Macaca mulatta: one gene and its partners. The protein of the gene in region 1 interacts with the protein of each later gene in a pairwise test. Links are inferred from orthologs where the notes say so. Each region holds a gene or a part of one and is shown on either strand. Other genes may lie near its edges. The genes, in order: ZYX, CASS4, VASP, NEBL and TUFT1.

The links.
Region 2: the proteins of ZYX (region 1) and CASS4 interact in binary tests that used the Homo sapiens proteins (3 or more experiments, as listed by UniProt). The link is inferred for Macaca mulatta from reciprocal best matches to the Homo sapiens genes ZYX and CASS4.
Region 3: the proteins of ZYX (region 1) and VASP interact in binary tests that used the Homo sapiens proteins (3 or more experiments, as listed by UniProt). The link is inferred for Macaca mulatta from reciprocal best matches to the Homo sapiens genes ZYX and VASP.
Region 4: the proteins of ZYX (region 1) and NEBL interact in a two-hybrid assay, tested with the Homo sapiens proteins (2 studies listed by BioGRID and IntAct). The link is inferred for Macaca mulatta from reciprocal best matches to the Homo sapiens genes ZYX and NEBL.
Region 5: the proteins of ZYX (region 1) and TUFT1 interact in binary tests that used the Homo sapiens proteins (3 or more experiments, as listed by UniProt). The link is inferred for Macaca mulatta from reciprocal best matches to the Homo sapiens genes ZYX and TUFT1.

What each region holds. Positions count from the first base shown.
Region 1 is NC_133408.1:183,412,221-183,416,251, reverse strand, and holds the start of ZYX (zyxin), read right to left. Parts: upstream 2,801-4,031; 5' UTR 2,773-2,800; intron 2,628-2,772; 5' UTR 2,616-2,627; coding exon 2,408-2,615; intron 1,942-2,407; coding exon 1,742-1,941; intron 1,599-1,741; coding exon 1,506-1,598; intron 1,391-1,505; coding exon 869-1,390; intron 1-868. UniProt on the Homo sapiens protein: Adhesion plaque protein. Binds alpha-actinin and the CRP protein. Important for targeting TES and ENA/VASP family members to focal adhesions and for the formation of actin-rich structures.
Region 2 is NC_133415.1:109,181,020-109,184,966, reverse strand, and holds the start of CASS4 (cas scaffolding protein family member 4), read right to left. Parts: upstream 2,813-3,947; 5' UTR 2,399-2,812; coding exon 2,363-2,398; intron 1-2,362. UniProt on the Homo sapiens protein: Docking protein that plays a role in tyrosine kinase-based signaling related to cell adhesion and cell spreading. Regulates PTK2/FAK1 activity, focal adhesion integrity, and cell spreading.
Region 3 is NC_133424.1:58,051,499-58,055,011, forward strand, and holds part of VASP (vasodilator-stimulated phosphoprotein), read left to right. Parts: intron 1-2,221; coding exon 2,222-2,306; intron 2,307-3,076; coding exon 3,077-3,126; intron 3,127-3,246; coding exon 3,247-3,488; intron 3,489-3,513. UniProt on the Homo sapiens protein: Ena/VASP proteins are actin-associated proteins involved in a range of processes dependent on cytoskeleton remodeling and cell polarity such as axon guidance, lamellipodial and filopodial dynamics, platelet activation and cell migration.
Region 4 is NC_133414.1:22,388,077-22,392,252, reverse strand, and holds the start of NEBL (nebulette), read left to right. Parts: upstream 1-1,368; 5' UTR 1,369-1,786; coding exon 1,787-1,867; intron 1,868-1,965; coding exon 1,966-2,037; intron 2,038-2,734; exon of another isoform or gene 2,735-2,940; intron 2,941-4,176. UniProt on the Homo sapiens protein: Binds to actin and plays an important role in the assembly of the Z-disk. May functionally link sarcomeric actin to the desmin intermediate filaments in the heart muscle sarcomeres.
Region 5 is NC_133406.1:115,513,869-115,517,381, forward strand, and holds part of TUFT1 (tuftelin), read right to left. Parts: intron 3,130-3,513; coding exon 3,040-3,129; intron 1,499-3,039; coding exon 1,433-1,498; intron 1-1,432. UniProt on the Homo sapiens protein: Involved in the structural organization of the epidermis. Involved in the mineralization and structural organization of enamel.

The DNA of each region.
Region 1 (4,031 bases):
CTATGCTGTGTCTGAGTGTAAGCAGACATCCACACTATCAGTGGACTCTATGGATGCTTGGACCAGCATCATCATCACCAGAAACTGGAAGGTCTTATTTCCTGAACTAGAAGGCAAGAACCATTTTGTAATTACAGCTTTTGTATTTTGAGCATTCATGTGCTAGATACAGAACCCAACACTCTCTAGGTTATTAGTTCACCTAATCTTTACAATCACTGTATGGAGTAGATAATGTTAAAGATTGAGAAACTGAGGCTCAGGGTTCACCTAACTTGCCCAGTCTAAGGGCTTGGGAGAAGCCCGAACCAGGAATTCCATTCCAGGTCCATCTGACACCTGAAGGCTGAGCTTCTTGCAGAGATCTCGTCCTTCCCATGTCCTACCCTCCTGAGCACAGAGCACAGTGCCTGGCACGTGGTAGATGCTGGCTCAGCCTATGTTTACTGGGGCTGACTCTTATCTCCAAGCCCTCAGGCAGAAAGAGTGCTCAGAGGAGCAGGGAGATTAAGTCAAGACCCAAGAATGGGAAAAACCAAGGTGGGACTGGTGATCTCATCCCTCCCTTTAACTTTCTGGGGTAAAGGCGCAAGGAAAGGTCCACCAGATCCTCCTAATTCAGAGCCTGTGCTCTCTGTGCCCTCCCAGCCAGGCCCCACCCAGCCCCACACCCAGCCAGGCCTCTCCTCCAGAAGAGCATTTTCTTACCACTGTTCCACCAGGCTAACCTCAGAGGATGAAACTTCCTATCCCGCCACCCCCGTGTCCACCCTGACTCTCCAATCACCTTCATGCTTCTGTTCTGGCTCCTGACTCAGCCCCGCCCCAGCACCCGGGTCCCAAGCCTTGTCCTATCACCATCCCTTACCTGGTTTTGGTTCTGAGCCGGTGCGGGCACTGGGTGCTGCTTCTCCTGCACTCGGGGCTTCTCCCTCTGCTGAGCATAGGTGAAGCTGGGAGGTTGAGGGGAGCCTGTGCCAGCGGAAAGAGCTTCGGGATGCCCCAATTTTTGATTTGGCTGTGACCCAGATCCACCTGGGGCTCCAGGACTGAACTTGGAAGCCACGGGAGTAAACTTAGGAGTCACTGGAGAAAACTTAGGGGCTGGAGCTGGCGATGAGGCTGGGGGACCTCGGGGCTGGGTGTTAGCCAAAGACACAGGCTGGGGCTGGGACTGGACATGGAGTTGGACCTGAGGCTTGGGCTGGGGCTGGGGCTGAACATGGAACTGTGTCTGGCTCTGAGCTGGAGCCGGAACCTGGGGCAGAGGCTGGGAGCTGGAAGGGGCCTTCCAAGGAGGCAGGGGTGCTGTGCCCCCAGCTGCAGGCTTAGTACTGGACTTGGAAATGAATGGAGTGGCCACTGGTGGGGGGACATATCCAGATGACACCTGCAAGGGGTGGGAGAGGGAAGAGAGATGCAGACAGGAGGACACCATCCTCCATAGCTCTATCCCCTGTCTCTCTGGCCCTGGGCCCTGCTTTTCCTACTTTGCGGTCCCTTACCCGAGCTTTGAAAGGATCATTCTTGGTCATGTCATCCAGCAGTGAGGACAGAGAGTCGATCTCCAAATCAATACTGCTCACCTTCTCCCTGGGCTAGAGGGTCAGAGGTCAGAGCACCTATTCCATGCCTCCATTCCCCCCACCCCCAAGGCAGAGGTGCAGGGGAGGTAAGAAAGGGCCCTCTTCTCCTCGCCTTGGGGGTGTCCGGTACAGCCGCCCCTCCCAGGCCTCCATACCTGCGGTGGGGACGGTATGGGGGCCTCAGGCCCTCCCTCCTCTTCCAGAGGAGGCGGCGGGGAAGGGAAGATCTCCTCCTCCAGAGGCGCAGGGGGAAATGATTCCTCGATCGGCGGAGGGGGCGGCGGGAAGGCACCTCCCAGAGCACCCTCCGCATCGTCGCCATCCCCGGCGAGGGGAGGTGGAGGCAGGGGAAAGTCTGGGGTAGGAAGGAGAAAGACGTCGCCCGGGGTCCCTCTGCCCCTCACCCAAGCTCCCCTCGGTTTACCGCTCTAACCCCTAACCCAAGAATTCTCTCGAGGGTCCCAGAGCGTGTGGGGACGCAAAGGCGGGGCGCAGGGCGCCCTGGGAGTACCAGGTCAGGAAAGGCCGGGGGCACGGCCGAGGAGTGGTGCAGCTCCCGTTACACTTCGGAAAACGGACCCGGAGGGGAAGATTCGTGCCCCACATTCCCGCCTCCCACCCCCAAGCGGGGGACTTGGAACGGTCCCAGGAGCTCTGGCTCCCAGCCACGAGCTCCACGATGAGGTAAGAACATCTGCTCGGGACAGGGTGGCTGCGCCCAGCCCCCTAGGCAACAACCTTTCCAGACATCCCCAGATTCCCGAAACAGTGCCCCCCCTCCGGCGCCCGCTGGGGTCCAGCCCCCAAGCCCCGCCGCATACCTTCCGGGGGCGGCGGGGGAATCTCGCCCACCCGGCCCATCTGTGCGCGCTGGGCCCCGGGTGCCGGGGGAGGCTCGCTGTCCCCGGGCCGGAAGGGATTCACTTTGGGTTTTGGGGCCACCACAGGGCCGAACTTCTTCTGGGGGGCGTAAAAAGCCGGAGCCGAGACCGAAACGGAGATCGCGGGAGACGGGCGGGGGGCCGCCATGGCCGGGCCGGGCTGCTGGGGTGGGTCGCCGGGTTACGCAGCGCAGAGCCCGGCTCAGGAGCCCCGGGCGGTCCCAGCTCCCCTTGGCGACCCCCATGCGCCCCCTCCCGGCGCCCCGCGCCCCCTCCCCGTGGGGCCGCCCTGCCGCTCCCCGCACCTCACCGCGGGCCGGAGCGTGCGCGCCGCGTCTCGGGTGGCCTCCTCGGCGCCGGGTCCACGGACTCTGCGTCCCAGTCCGGAGCAGCCTCCAGCCGGGCGGGGAGGGACACACGGAAGGAGGAGGGAGGGAGGAGGGAGGGGGCGGGGAGAGAGCGGCGCCCAGACCATACAAGGAGCGGCCCGGAGAGGGGGCGGGGAGAGCGGGGAAGGGCGGACCAGGCAGGAAACTCCCCCAGGAAGGGGCCCTGATCCTGCCTCAGGCCAGAGGCTCCGCCGAGGTCCGCCCGCCGCCACCCCACTCCACTCACTGCCGCCCCCGCCGCCCCGGCCCGGCTCAGACCCCCGCTCCCTGAGCACAGGCCTCTGATGTCATTTCCTGACCTGCCCTCCCCCCATGCCCGACCCGCGGGTGCCCGAGATCTGACTCACCGTCCCCCTCCGGGCTTAGCCGGCGGAGGTGGGGCGGTGCCGCAGAGGTAGCCACGCAGCCCCTGTGCGCCTCCGGCCCGGCCCAGCGACCTCCTCTCCGGCCTGCAGTTACCCGGTCCCCTCCCGCCACCACCCGCTACCCGACCACCTCCGAGTCCGCCTGGGGTGGCCGAACGTATGGAGCTGGGCTCCAGGGTGCACAAGGATGGGGGATGAGGAGCGGGGCGTTCTCCCTCCCAGCACCCCCCAGCTGACTCTGTGCTCGGAGGGGGTGTGTGAGCTGGAACCTCCAGCATTCTCGGGGATACGAACTTCCAACGCTGGGCAGCCTCTTAAGGCTTCTAGGAATTCGCATCCTCCGCGCCCCCGCCATAGGATCGGTTGCGAGAGGGACCGTTCGGGCCCGCGGGGCCGGGAATGGAGGTGGGAGGGCGGGGCCGAGGCGGCGGCCGCCTGCGGACTGGGGACCCGGGAGGACGGACGCGGACGCGGGCTGCTAGTCTTTTACAGCTCTTCAGCGCCCACCACTACCCACTCCTCTAGAAGACCCCGGGCGACGGTGGGGCTCTTGGGCATTCTGAGACTGCGCTTGGTGGAGCCCCCTACTGGCCCGACCAGATTTCTCAGCCTGCGACTCAGCCCCAGGCTACGCGAAAGAGGCCGGACCCGGGTAATTCTTCTAGTTGTTCTTCTTCTTCTTCTTCTTCTTCTTCTTCTTCTTCTTCTTCTTCTTCTTCTTCTTCTTCTTCTTCTTCTTCTTCTTCTTCTTCTTCTTCTTCTTCTTCTTCTTCTTCTTCTTCTTCTTCTTCTTCTTCTTCTTCTTCTTCT
Region 2 (3,947 bases), on another chromosome or scaffold:
GCAATTCTCCTGCCTCAGCCTCCCAAATAGCTGGGAATACAGGCGTGCACCACTACGCCCAGCTAATTTTTTTGTATTTTTAGTAGAGATGGGGTTTCACTATTTTGGCCAGGCTAATCTCCTGACCTCAAGTGATCCACCCGCTTTAGCCTCTGAAAGTGGTGGGATTACAGGTGTGAGCCACCGATCCCAGCCTATCTGTATAATATTAATAGCAGAATTTCATGGGGATGCTGGGAATATCAATTACATGTTCTACGCATACATGCATGTTATTTACAAATTGCAGTGGGGCTCGGAGGTGTGCACCTGTAGTCCCAGCTACTTGGGAGGCTGCGGCAGAAGAATCACCTGAGTTCAGGAATTTGAGTCCAGCTTGGACAACAGAGTGATACCCCCATTGCTAAATATATTATTTTTAAATAACGAAACCCCACCCAATTGTAAAGTGCTACATAAATTATTTAGGCAGAATAAGCAGCACATAAAAAGAAGTCTAAATCATAAAAAAAAATCTAGGCTATTTAGAAAAAAGGTCAATGTTATGAAAGAGAAAAAGGTAGTAGACTGTTCTAGATTAAGAACTGAGAATTGACAAACAATACCTGGATCAGAAAGACAAACACACAAACAAATAACAACAGCCAGAAAAGCTACAAAGGATCACTTTGGAAAATATGAATTGGACTGAATCGTAGAATGGCATTATTAAATCAGTGTGAATTGGACTGAATCGTAGAATGGCATTATTAAATCAATGTGAAATGTTCTTGGGGATGATGATATGTGGATATTCTTCTACGTTCTGTTCTTAGGAGACACATAATGAAGTTTAGGGGTGGAGCATCATTGTATTGGCCATTTATTTTCAAAGAGTTTAACAACAATAAAAACAAAGTGTGTTCCAGTGTCTAAATATATACAAATAGATGTACACAAATATGACAAAGTACCATCAACCCATGATCTAGGTGAAAGGTATGCAGGGATTTACTGAATAATCCCCACGCTCCCCATATTTTTCCAATGGTTTGAAAATTTTCAAAGTAAGTAGTTGGGGACAAAATTCTAGGGTAGCTAAGGTATTTACATATAATCTATATAAGAGAGACTATCATGGGTTACTCAGCCATAAATTCCACTAGTGACTTTTACAATTTTTTTCTTTTGTTATTTAGTTTTGATTTTTTTGAGACAGAGTCTTGCTCTGTCACCTAGGCCGGAGTGCAGTGGTATAATCTCAGCTCACTGCAACCTCTGCCTCCCAGGCTCAAGCAGTTCTTGTGCCTCAGTCTCCCGAGTAGCTGGGATCACAGGCATGCACCACCATGCTCAGCTAATTGTTGTATTTTTGGTAGAGATGGGGTTTTTCGTCTTGGTCAGGCTGGTCTCAAACTCCTGGTCTCAAGTGATGCATCTGCCTTGGCCTCCCAAAGTGCTGGGATTACAGGTGTGAGCCACTGCACCCAGCCACACTAGTCACTTTTATTATAATTAAAAATAAGCATTGATTTTTTTATAAGCAAGCTCCCCATTTAGTACTTGTTTCATTTCTTTTTTACTGTTCTACTTAAAATTTAAAAAGGGCATAGCAAGATGAAAACACAATCTTGAGCTTCACTTTCTTTACATCTGGGTAAATTTTTTAAATATGGTAACCATTTTAACTTTTTTTTTTTGAGATGGGGTCTTGCTATGTTGCCCAGGCTGGACTCAAACTTCTAGGCTCAATTAATCCTTTCACCTCAGCCTCTCCAGTAGCTGGGAGTACAGGTATGTGCCACTGTGCCTGGCTTCTTTTACCTTTCTAAATAGTGAATCTTTTTTGATTCATGACAGGCATGAAGTCTGTCTGAAAGCTCCAGCTTTGCTCACATAATGCACAAGTAAACATGAAAATAACATGTAACTGCCCACTGTGGGCTCAGCACAGGAGGCTACAGGCAAGGGTCTGGGCTCTGCTATTGCGAGGTGAGCACAGAAATCAATCAGAACAGTTGGAGTGGCACTGAGTGTCTTTGGGGTCCAGAGAAAGAAGGAATTAGTGGGGGCTGAGGCAGACTCACATCTTGCTTCAGAAGTTTGCTGGACACAAAATGATGGACGGTGCTGTCAACCAAGTAAGCTGATTTCTACTACAAGGTCATTTTCACCCATCTTGGATGCAAACTGCTAAGGAGCTTTACAGCACATCTATTTCCCACACTTAAACTTATGTTAAACTTTCCAATCTCAAACTCACACGTCACTGGTATTCAACCTTTGCCTTTATTAGAAAGTCACAACTAAAGCTGGTCAATACCCTTAATCATCACAGCTTGCTCCCTGCCAGAGCCCATTCAAACAGCCCCGCATCACTCACCTTGGGCGCACCGTCCACGACGCCTGTTCCCTTCATGTCGGTGATGTGGAGCAGCTGCCCTGAGCTCTACGGCTAATATCTCCGGCTTCAGAGGCAGATTATGCAATGTCACTGCATGCTTCTGGCTGGTTCTCAGAAACTGAATTCTATGGTGCTATCTGACAACACACGGGAAACGATCAAAAAGACTCTCCCAGCAGGCGAACTTTCTGGAAAGCACGATAAGAGTAAAATGAAAGCAGTGAAGGAGGGGAGAACCAGAAATACAAGCCACACTCACGCCTCATTGCCTGACGTCTCACTTTGTCTATAAGTAGAGACCGTCACTCATTTGCTATGTGAAACCACAAAAGAAGAAGAAGAAAAGAAAAACACCACTCTTCTGCTTTATAGGGCGAAGTTCCTACTTTGAAGAGCTCAGTGTATGAACATACAGCATTCTTGTCCTTTGAACTCTGGGGAACAACTCCCACCCGACAGACCAAGCTCATTTCCCTGATGAGAGGCCACTAAGCCAAATTTCCGATAGCGGTCAGCTTTTCTTCCTTCCTGCTCCCAAAAACTTGCCTTATGACAGCCAGGATAAAAGCAGTCAAGCAGGCTGCCTTAAAGGACACAGTCTCCACTCTACCCACCCTGTCAGTTGCGCATTCTCCCTGCTCGGAACCCCGTGCTCACCTCCTGGTCTTTGCTCACGGTACCTAATGATTAACATCTTCTGGGTGCTGGCTCTGCACTGAGGGCTATGCTGAGTCCCACACCTGTATTCTCTCTCTTAAATCAAATCAACCAATCGCGTGTGCTGTACTTGAAACCCCCGCTAGCTCATGCAGTTTCTCATCACTTGCCAACTCTTTCTACTTTCCCTACATTCAGATCCAACCTCTAGAGAGGACCTACAGCATAGCAGACACTGTGCAAAGTAAGTCTGCATTTTTTTTTTTTTGAGATGGAGTCTTTCTCTGTCACTCAGGCTGGAGCGCAGTGGTGCTATCTCGGCTCACTGCAACCTCCACCTCCCGGGTTCAAGTGATTCTCCTGCCTCAGCCTCCCAAGCAGCTGGGATTACAGGCACCCACCACCACGCCTGGCTAATTTTTGTACTTTCAGTGTAGACAGGACTTCACCATCTTGGCCAAGCTGGTCTCAAACTCCTGATGTCAAGTGATCCACCCACCTCAGCCTCTCAAACTGCTGAGATTACAGGTGTGAGCCACCACGCCTGGACCTGGCCTTCATTTTTATTTAGACAAAATGGTACCCATTCTTCCAAGCCAGGCTCAAGTTCCATCCCCAGCCAGCTGTGTCTCCGCTCACTGCTCTCTTCTTGTCAGACAGCATCTTTTTATTTTTTATTTTTAAATTTTCTTCTTTTCTTTTACCACGCCTCTGAGACAAGTTCAACAGACAGCCTTAGCGTCTTGTCTTCCGGTTGTCCGGTGTGTAGTCCCCACAAGTCTGGGCACCAGGACATATTTTACCCATTGAAGTAGCTGACTGATTTCTGGCCGAGACAGTCCATATTTTTAAATGTTATCGTTGTTAGAAATTAACTTCCAGAGCCAAGTAATTGGCATACTGCAGG
Region 3 (3,513 bases), on another chromosome or scaffold:
GGGTTCAAACGATTCACCTGCCCTAGCCTCCCGAATAGCTGGGACTACAGGCATGAGCCACCACACCCGGGTAATTTTTTGTGTCCTTAGTAGAGACAGGGTTTCACCATGTTAGCCAGGATGGTTTCGATCTCTTGACCTCGTGATCCGCCCGCCTAGGCCTCCCAGAGTGTTGGGATTACAGGTGTGAGCCACCACGCCTGGCCTTTGTAATTTTAGTAGAGAAGGGGTTTCACCATATTGGCCAGGCTGGTTTTGAACTCCTGGCCTCAAGTGATCCACCTGCCTCTGCCTCCCAAAGTGCTGGGATTATAAGTGTGAGCCACCACGCCCAGCCACCTGGATCATTTCAAAATTGCTTTTTTACTTTTTGTGGAGATGGTCTACAGGCTGGTCTCAAACTCCTGGGCTCAAGTGATCCACTTCAGCTTCCTAAAGTGCTGGGATTGCAGGCATGAGCCACTACACCCAGTCCAGTTGCTTTTCTTTTTTTTTCTTCCTTTTTTTTTTTTTTGATATGGAGTGTCTGTCTGTCTCAGGCTGGAGTGCAGTGGTGTGATCTCGGTTCACTGCAACCTCTGCCTCCTGGGTTTAAGCAATTCTGCCTCAGCCTCCCGAGTAGATGGAACTACAGGTGCATACCACCATGCCTGGCTAATTTTTGTAGTTTTAGTAGAGACGGGGTTTCGCCACGTTGGCCGGGCTGATCTCGAACTCCTGACCTCAGGTGATCCACTCGCCTTGGCCTCCCATAGTGCTGAGATTACAGGAGCAAGCCAGGCGCCCAGCCCAGTTGCTATTTCTTAAACCTTAACATGCACATGAATCACCTGGGGATATGGTTACAGTGCAGGCTCCGGTGCAAATGGGCTAGGGAGACTGAGACTCTGCATTCTCACAAGTGCCCTGGTGATACCGAGGCTGCTGGTCCGCGGATGTGACTGAGTAGCGAGGTTTTATGTGACTGCCATGCATCTGGCCTGGAATCACTGCTGTAGAACTGAAAGTCACCAAATGCAGCGGTGTTTGCTTTGTGGGGCAACTTCTGTGCTAGTGCGGAAGGGGTTTGCTCCTCTGGGGCACACAGAAAAATACAGTGCGCTTCAGTGTAGTCATCTGTAAAATGGGGCTAATTCTTGTTAATTCATAGCCAATTCAATTCAGGTGGGTGCTGGGGCCAGCAGCCTGGAGGTAGGTGAGGAAGAAGCTCTTTACCTTTCCAGGTTCTTAGGTAAGGTCCAAGTGGCTGTGACAGTGGTTAAGAGCTGGCCAGGGGCCAGGTGCAGTGGCTCACGCCTGTAATCCCAACACTTTGGGAGGCCGAGGCGAGTGGATCACTTGCGGTCAGGAGTTTGAGACCAGCCTAGCCAATATGGTGAAACCTCATCTCTACTAAAAATACAAAAATTAGCCAGGATGGTGGCAGGTGCCTATAATCCCAGCTACTCAGGAGGCTGAGGCAGGAGAATCTCTTGAACCCGGGAGGCGGAAGTTGCGGCGAGCTAAGATCACACCATTGCACTCCAGCCTGGGGGACAAGAGCGAGACTTCATCTCAAAAAAAAAAAAAAAAAAACGAGCTGGCCAGGTGCTGTGGCTCATGTCTGTAATCCCAGAACTTTGAGAGGCCGAGGTGGTTGGATAGCTTGAGCTCAGGCGTTTGAGACCAGCCTGGGTAACATAGCAAAATCCCATCTGTACAAAAAAAAAATGATTAGCCAGGCGTGGTGAAATGTGCCCGTAGTCCCAGCTACTCGGGAGGCTGAGGTTGGAGGATCACCTGAGCCTGGGGAGACTGAGACTGTGGTTAGCCGTGATTGCGCCACTGCATTCCACAGCCTGGGTGACAGTGAGACTCTGTCTCGAAACAAACCAACAGTGGTTAAGAGCCTGGCTGCTGGAATCGGCCTGAATTCAAGTCTTGTTCCTGCACATTCCAACCTGGAGAACTTTGGGGCAAGTGACTGTCCCCTGGGCCTTAGCTTCTCCTGTCACTGGGACATCACAACAACACCTGCCTTAGGGCAACTCAGGCCAGGGAGGCTGGTGCTGCCTCACCTCCCAGGGTGTGTCCTCCTGGGCCTGGAGCCTCAGGGCCTCAGGAAGGAGGAAGTGAGTGCCCCTGGGCAGGATTCCTGGGAGGCCTGGAAGAGCAAGGGAAACGCCAAGGGCTGAGCAGAGTTCCGGGACTGACTTGTGGCCCTTTCTCTCTCACCTTCCAGGAGGTGGGCCCCCTCCACCCCCAGCACCTCCCACCTGGTCGGTCCCGAACGGTCCCTCCCTGGAGGAGGTGGAGCAGCAGAAAAGGTGGGGCTGGGCCCTGGGTGGGGAACCTTAGCCACGGCCAGTTCCATACGTTCTGGAACCCTTGACTCCTAGAGTTCAGAACCCAGCCAACTTGCAGTTTTCAGAATGTTCAAGAAATTTCTGACACTGAGAGTTGCAGAACCTCCTGGTCCCTGCAGATTCCTGGAAATCAGAATATGGTGGTTGAAAGAATCTCGTGGCTGGGCGTGGTGACTCACCCCTGTAATCCCAGCACTCTGGGAGGCTGAGGCGGGCAGATCACCTGAGGTCAGAAGTTTGAGACCAGCCTGGCCAACACGGTGAAATCCTGTCTCTACTGCAGATACAAAAATTAGCCGGGCATGGTGGCGCCCGTGCCTGTAATCCCAGCTTGGGAGGATGAAGCAGGAGAATCGCTTGAACCTGGGAGGCGGGGGTTGCAGTAAGCCAAGATCGAGCCACTGCACTCCAGCCTGGGTGACAGAGTGAGACTCTGTCTTTAAAAAAAAAAAAAAAAAAAAAAAGAATCTTGGGCATTTTGTCATTCGGGTGTTCCTGACAGTTTAGTGACTGAGATCTTGCATTCGATCTCTCCCTGTCACTGCCCTGCCCTCCATTCCCCCCACTCTCACCCACCCCCATTCTTGGTTCCCTAGGGGAGGAAGGCTTGGGTGAGGATTAGGAGCCAGCGTCCCTGGAGACCTCTGAGAGAGAGGATGGAGGTCGCTGGCCCCTTCCCTGGTCATCCTTAGGGCCCTGATTGACGGCAGCTCCCTCACCTCCCCCTACAGGCAGCAGTCCGGCCCGTCGGAGCACCTAGAGCGCCGGGTCTCCAATGCAGGTGATGCTCAGATGGCTTCGGGAGTTGGGAGGGGGCCTCCCTGGAGGAAGAGGCCAGCTAGCTGGACAGTGAAGAACGAAGCTTCTCTTTCAGCTGCCCCCTTTTCTGTGTTTGTTTCAGGAGGCCCACCTGCTCCCCCAGCTGGGGGTCCACCCCCACCACCAGGACCTCCCCCTCCTCCAGGTCCCCCCCCACCCCCAGGTTTGCCCTCCTCGGGGGTCCCAGCTGCAGCACATGGAGCAGGGGGAGGACCACCCCCTGCACCCCCTCTCCCGGCAGCACAGGGTCCTGGTGGTGGGGGAGCTGGGGCCCCAGGCCTGGCCGCAGCTATTGCTGGAGCCAAACTCAGGAAAGTCAGCAAGGTGAGGGGCCAGGAGAGGTGGGAAG
Region 4 (4,176 bases), on another chromosome or scaffold:
AACAGGATATGTGATACCATTAATTTAGCCTTTATCAAAAACTAGTTCAAGACCAATAGCTCCTTCTAGAACACAACATTTTAGCAGAATAGAGCAATATTTCCCTCAGTAATAGGTCATATTTCACAGAGGAGTGTTAGTTTTCTGGGGTAGTGGGTATAATTAAAAAAAAGTGATAGGTAGATAGAAAGATAGGTAGGTAGGTAGATTAGATTAAATTGGATTAGATTTGATGAGATAGATAGGTTTTGTGTTCAGGGGAAAAGGAGGTTAAGCAAGCCTAAGTAGGTTTTTTGGTTGAAGGTCTTCTCAGAACTTCTAATGTGTCAGTATGCCTTGTAGATCTCTAAGTGGCAGGGGCAGAGATTGGGGTACAGATTTCCCAAACGTATTTGTTTAAGAAACCTGCTCTTCTCCCCCAGAATCTTTTGTGGAACTTTTGCCTCATGAAACACAATTTCAGAAATAATTTGTACACGATGACTGTGTAGAATGTTTTTCTTGTTAGGGTTTTCAGTTTAGGTAAGGCCGAGGCATTTTTTTAATAACACATTGAAAACTAGATATGATATCAAGAGAAAAAGAGTTATGCTTGGCTACTTAGAATGATGTATTATTTTTAATAAATTTGTATTTTCTGTCATCAGTATTACTATTCCTTGTAGAGTATTTTTTTATGCCCGACGCTAATATGCTATGACTTGGTAAAATTAATTTCCCCTAGGATTTAAATAACCAGATTAATAAATCGTGAGTTGTAGAGAGTCTTGGAATTGCCTGAATTGACATTAAAATATTTGTTTTGAAAAATGTATTTTTAACCTTGGTTTTACATAACCAAGGACACATACCACATTATAAATATTGTGATGGTTTATTTTTCCAAACTTTTCTGAATGTGGGGTACCCATTGAGTAATAATGCACATCACCAATGAATCTGTAAAAATTGACATGATGAGTAGAATTGCAGAATTCAAAGATGATGATGATTATTTTTGAAACAGTGATGTTTCTAGAATTGTTAAATTATATATCAACGTGTGTTAACTGCAACTTCTCATGTTTAATGATGTTTACAATTAATACAATACCATACTCGCCAGTATAAGACTAACAGTCATCATTAACTCAGAATAGATTCTTTGAAGTGGTTCAAAGGGCTTTTCATAATAAATAACTAGCCTCTAATCAGCTAATATAAAGTGGGTATTTTTTAGGATGTGAGAAGTACTGGTGTGTCTGATAAAACATATAATTTGGGTTAACAAAATGAGCTTGAATGATCCAGATTCTCTACCCCAAGTCAGAAAGAAGTCCGACATTCCAGTGAAAGCTTTATTTAGACAGAGATGAGGAGTCTTTGAGATAACAGGCTTTGGACTGTGCTATCTTGAGTGTTAGAGCTGAGTAGTTTTTGTGGAATCTCTAAGTCCTTTTTACACTCTTTTATGAATGAATAGAATTAGTAAAAGATAAATAAATTTTCTCTTTTGGATTTCTTAACCAGTGGAAAAAATGTTGACTTTAAAAGTTCATAAAATCAAGTTTTGCCCAAGAATATGTTATGTCCACTTGTGAGGCCAGCCTGGTAGACCTCTGGGATCCTGTTCTGTTCACTCACACACCACTGAGATAAGGAGTGAAGTGTGGGCTAAATAGGGCTGAGGCTTGGGCAAGGGCGTTTCGAACAGAGCACCAGAGACATCAGCATCTCAAGGGCACTGTGGTACAAAAAAGGACGCCACATGAGTAAATTTTAAAAATAACTATTTTAAAGGGTAAAAATGAGGGTCCCTGTATTTGAGGATGTAAAAGATGAAACTGAAGAAGAAACAATAGGGGAAGAAGAAAATGAAGAAGACCGGGTGAGTAAGAAAACACATACTCATGACCAGCGTTTGTTCCTCTAAATTGATGATGAGAAAAATGTTCTCTTTCTTTCTTTCTTTTTTTTTTCATATAGGTCTTCTATAAGCCTGTTATTGAAGACTTAAGCATGGAATTGGCCAGAAAATGCATGCAACTCATTAGTGATGTAAGTGGCTGGAGTACTTTCTGTCTTATTTTGCATTGCACCTGTGGTATTATTATGTTATAGAGGCATAGAGCTGTGGGGGAAACCCTGAAATCACCTTTTAAAACACAGTCACTTTCCAGATCATGGAACAAAGTCCTGAAATTCTAAGTGATTTCGCCAAGGTCACCTATACAGAGAATTTCTGCTAGAGCAAGTCTCCTCATTCTTAATCCAGAATCCTGTCCCTTATGAGGTTTGCTGTCACTCTGGCATGAAATCATAAGGCATTGAATTGCAGTATTTATTCCATTTGAGAACTCCCAAAGATTTTAAAATGAATGTAATGATGTAATTTGTCTTGGGAGGCCCTCTATCTAAATGAGTAGTCATTTTTTAACATTTTGGGGCATTCTGAAGAATCTAATGAATGGACTTGTCTTTCAGAACAGGAAAATGCATATATATATATATCTATGCATATAACTTCTATTTACAATTCAGGATTTGTGGATTACCAAGCTGCTTGCTAAGAACCCTGATATTAGAGAAGGATATTAGTGCAAGGGGCATTTTTGTTGTGACATTTTTTAGTAACTGGGATTGGTCAATATTACACTTCAAGGGAATCCCAGAATATATTGAATGATTGAACGTATAGTTTTATGTTAAATATGTAAGCTAGAATTCAAGAAGTACAAGGAAAAATGTTGCTCACCAGGAATGAGAATTTAGATGATCCTCATTAACAGTTCTAAGAGGATTGCTGGTCCAGAGGAAGGGTGACTCCTGTAGAGTGAATATGTGCCTGTGTCTTCATTTAGAGAGATGAGCACAATACTGGTTGTTTCTGTTGTTGATAATGAGCAAGATGATCAGAATGTTTTGCACGTTTGTTTTCAAAGGGAAGTCAGTCCTGGGCAGGAGGACAATGGGCTGGCACGTCCTCCAAAGTCAATCTGCCTGGGTTGACTCCACAATAACCTTGGAAAGGTTATGTAACCTGGCTGGGCTCCATCCCTCAGCTGTAACATTTATAATAAGATTAAATAATGGTAATGCATCTAAAATGCTGAATAAACTATCTGGAACATTGTGAGTACTCCATAAATGTTAGCTGTTATTAACTACTCTGTCTGTTACTTACTTTTACATCCATCCAATCACAGTTTAGATATGACTGGCTCTTTTTGACAAACCAGAAGACAAGCATAAAGGATGATGGTGGAAATCATACCCTTTCCCATATACTTGACATGTGATGTAATTACCCTTTAAATTAAGTATTTCTTTGTGCTATTACTTAATAGTCATTAGCTATTGTATGTGAAAGTTATTTGTAAATTGCAATAATAATAAATGACGACAACAACAACAATAACAATATTGGCAACAGTTAAGATTTAGTGACTACTATGTGCAGGGATTGCAGCTTGCGAGGTAGGCACTATGCTGTTTCTCATTTTTGAAGTGAAGAGATAGAGGCACAGAGAGGTTCAGTACCTTGCCTGGGTCACACAGTTAAGCAGCGGCAGTAATATTTGAACACAAAGGCCTCCCTCTTACACTGCCAAGTTATCTCTCACTGTAGGTTTCCATGAAATGTTGTTCTTTGCCTTATTATTATTACGCTACTATTAGTAGTAGTAATGCTACCTACTAAAACTCTTAAGTTCCTAACCTCTTCCAGCTTTGATATATTTTTATTGAAGTGCAATTATAACTGAGCTAACTTGTGTTACATAAACCATCAGGACTAAAGTAGTAACTGTAGTTAGTAGGTGATTTTGTTGGAGTTGTTTTGGGTAAGATTGTTTATCAGTGACTTTAAAACCAATGTGTTGCCGGGCGCGGTGGCTCAAGCCTGTAATCCCAGCACTTTGGGAGGCCGAGACGGGTGGATCACGAGGTCAGGAGATCGAGACCATCCTGGCTAACACGGTGAAACCCCGTCTCTACTAAAAAATACAAAAAACTAGCCGGGCGAGGTGGTGGGCGCCTGTAGTCCCAGCTATTCCGGAGGCTGAGGCAGGAGAATGGCGTGAACCCGGGAGGCGGAGCTTGCAGTGAGCTGAGATCCGGCCACTGTACTCCAGCCTGGGCGACAGAGCGAGACTCTGTCTCAAAAAAAAAAAAAAAAAAAAAAACCAATGTGTTGTG
Region 5 (3,513 bases), on another chromosome or scaffold:
CATATTTAAAGCCATATATTGAATTCATTAGAGTGAGTGCCTCTTGCAGGAGGTGGAGAGGCAAAAAAACCAAAAAACAAAAACTAAAACCAGTGAGAGGACTTGACAGGACCCACGAGGACGATGTGCCATGAACTAATGGGTGGGTCTGATTCAACCTATACCTGAGGGCCAAAAACACCAAATGCCAAAACATACCCAACTAAAGAAACAAAAAAAAAAAAACAATTATAAAGACATGCCACATACTGTACAATGTGAATATTATAAATATATATTTGCATTCAGGGAAAGATGAAATTTCACTGTGGTTTTTCTCTGAGTAGATTACAAGCGACATTTTTTTCTTCTTTCACTTTTCTGTGTTTCTGAATTTTCCAAATTTTCTACAGTATGAATGTTTGGTATTATATAATCACAAAAAAACATAATAACACACTTTTAAAAAATACAGTCATGGTGGCCGGGTGCAGTGGCTCATGCCTGTAATCCTAACACTTTGGGAGGCCGAGGTGGGTGGATCACCTGAGGTCAGGAGTTCGAGACCAGCTTGGCCAACATGGTGAAACCCCATCTCTACTAAAAATACAAACATTAGCCAGGCGTGGTGGCTCATGCCTGTAGTCCCAGCTACTCAGGAGGCTGAGGCACGAGAATTGCTTGAACCCAGGAGGCGGAGGTTGCAGTGAGCCAAGATCACACCACTGCACTGCATCCTGGGTGACAGAGTAAGACTCTGTCAGTCAATCAGTCAATTGATCAAGTACAGCCATGGAAGGAAATACTATGTAGTTATTCAAAAGAATGAGGTAGATCTATTATATACTGACATGGAAAGAAGGTTATAATATACTCTTTAGTTAAAAAAAAAAAGCAAGCAAAGAAAAATGTATTTACCATCCTATAGTTGAGAAAAGCACATATATATTATATACATATATTTATCATGTATATATGGTATGTATATAACATATACATGATATTTAAATATGGTTGTCTATGTATATAAAAATATTCTAGAATACTGGCACTCAACTTTAGCTAAACATTAGTATCACCTGAAGAGCTCTTAAAAGTCCTGATGCCCAGGCCACCTATTGGAACAATGAAATGACAAGCTCTAGGGATGGGACCCAGGCATCATATCCTTTAAAGCTTGCAAGGCCATTCCAATGAGCAGCTGAGGCTGAGAAGCACTGCCCTAGAAAGATCCACCCACTTCAATCTGTTAACAGTGGATACTTGTAAGGAGTGAGATTGGGGAAGGAGAATTTCCACTCTTTATATTTCTCTTGTTGTTTGAATTTTTATGTCAACTACTACTCTTGTATTTAATGAGAGAGAGAGAGAGAAAGCAATAAACAAAAGGATGGGGAGGAGGCAATCCTGCCCCTGGCTAAGCAGAGCCACCGTTGTGTCCTCTGTTACCCACCTCAGGTGGGCTGCTGTACAGGGCCGTGGGACTCTGACTAAAGCCATTTGGCTTTTCTAGCACCACCTGTTCAAAGAAAAATAAAACTGGGAGTTAAAACAGATGAAAGCAACCAACTTTGAACATTATTCTCCTAACACTCAAATCTTAGAGAAAGACAGGGAGAGAGAGAGGAAGGTGAAAGGGAGGCAGGGAGAGAGAAAAAGACAGGGAGGGAGAAAAAGGAAGGAATTAAGAAAAGAAAAGAGGAAGAGGGAAGGAAGGGAAAGAAAAAAAGATTCCTAGTGTTCCCAGAGAAAACAGAAACAAGAGGGGGTGGAGAAATGTGTGTGGCCTTGAAAGGGAACACCCTAGCCTTATAGGGAGGATGAAAAAAAACCTCAGGCTAAAACCTTTCAGCAGATAGAAAAGTATGTGTAGTCCATTCTTCTTAGCCAGGGAATAAGTGCAGCTGCCTGACACAAACAAAGAGTTTCCCTTGCCCCCAGGGATCCTGGCAAAGTTTGACAAAGCAAAAATTACAAAGGGAAGCCTTTTTAAATTATTTCTGACCCAAAGCCTGATTATTCATCATATGACAGCTGGTTTGGGCAAACAAGGGGACTGGACTTTGGGCCAGTCTCTGTGCACATTAGGTTCTTCTGCCACCTGACAAAGGAGCTCCCACCAGCCAGATGTGAGCTCAGGCACTGAAAGGCCTGCCTTCAGCCAAAGCAAAAATTAGGAAATGTTCCACCACACAAGTGCATGTCCAAGACAAAGAACTTTCCTTGCACCAGCTGCTGGGCCGCTGTTCCCCTCAAGGGAACGAAGGCAGGGGCTGCTGCTGGAGCAAGACACCCTGCCCGAACCAAAATGCAAATCAAAGATACAACTCAGAATCTAAAGGATGAGGGCGAAGTCACAAAGAGACAGCTCTGTTCTCCCAAGGGCATGTCTATCTTCGAGTTTTGGAAAAACTGAAAAGCAAGATCCCAGGATTATCCATCCCAGGAAAGACTTATCCAATCTGTTCAGTCTAACAAACATTTACTGATGCCTTCTACATCCCAGACCTGGGGAGAGAGGGAGGGTGAGGATACAGACACGGGATGGGGGTGGGGTGAACTCCTAACCTTGAGGAGCTTCCCATCCCAGGTTAGACATAACTATATAGAAGATTAATAACAGGCTAGGGCACGGACTTCAATTCACACTACAGGTGCCACCCAAACTAAGCAAGATCAGCTTATGAGAAGTGTGGATTTACAGGTGATTGTCTGCTTTATAAAATTCCATTATTACAGGAAGCTTGATCACAGAATCCTTATAGATAAGAGGCTTTGCTAACAACTGATGATATTTAATTTGTGTAAGTTCAATTTCTGTACAATGTTTCAGGAGCAGGTGTACTTATGCTTAAGCTGACATGTGTAAATGTAAGTGCTCATCGGCTGGAGAGTCCTAACCAGATTGTGAGTGCTCCAGAGAAGCCAGCATCACCTCTATTTTCTCCATTCCTGGCAGAGATGCCAGACTGAGCACACACTGGGTAATTGGTAAATGAGACTGCCTGGCACAACCCCACTTCCTCGGTGGGGACCCAACCATGGACCGTTTCCTATTACCTGTATCTCCTGTCGATGGAGAGAATCTCCTAGGTCCCTGTCAAGCTTGCTACTTATATCCTCCCGGAGCTTCTGTAGGCAGTTCCTGGCCTGGGAGGGGAGGGGAAGAAACTTGAGCTTTAGGGTAGAGAAAGAGAGCACGCCAACTCACCCAACTCTGTGCACCATCCCCGGCCTGGACTATGAGTCAGGCACTGTCCTAACTACTGGCCGTAGGATGGAGAGAGGTACCCTGGTCAAGTGGGGCTACAGCTGACATTCTTGTTGGGGAGACACACACAACACAAAAGACAAATAAGTAAAATGTGTAATATGTTATATGGGCATAAGTGCCCATGAGAAACATGAGCCAGGAAGGGAGTGAAGAAATGCTGTGAAAAGTTGGCTGGTAATTTTCGATAGGTGGCTGGGGACAGTGCTAGGCACATAGTACTTAAGTATCCGTGGATTAATGGATCACGTATGAAGGGTCGA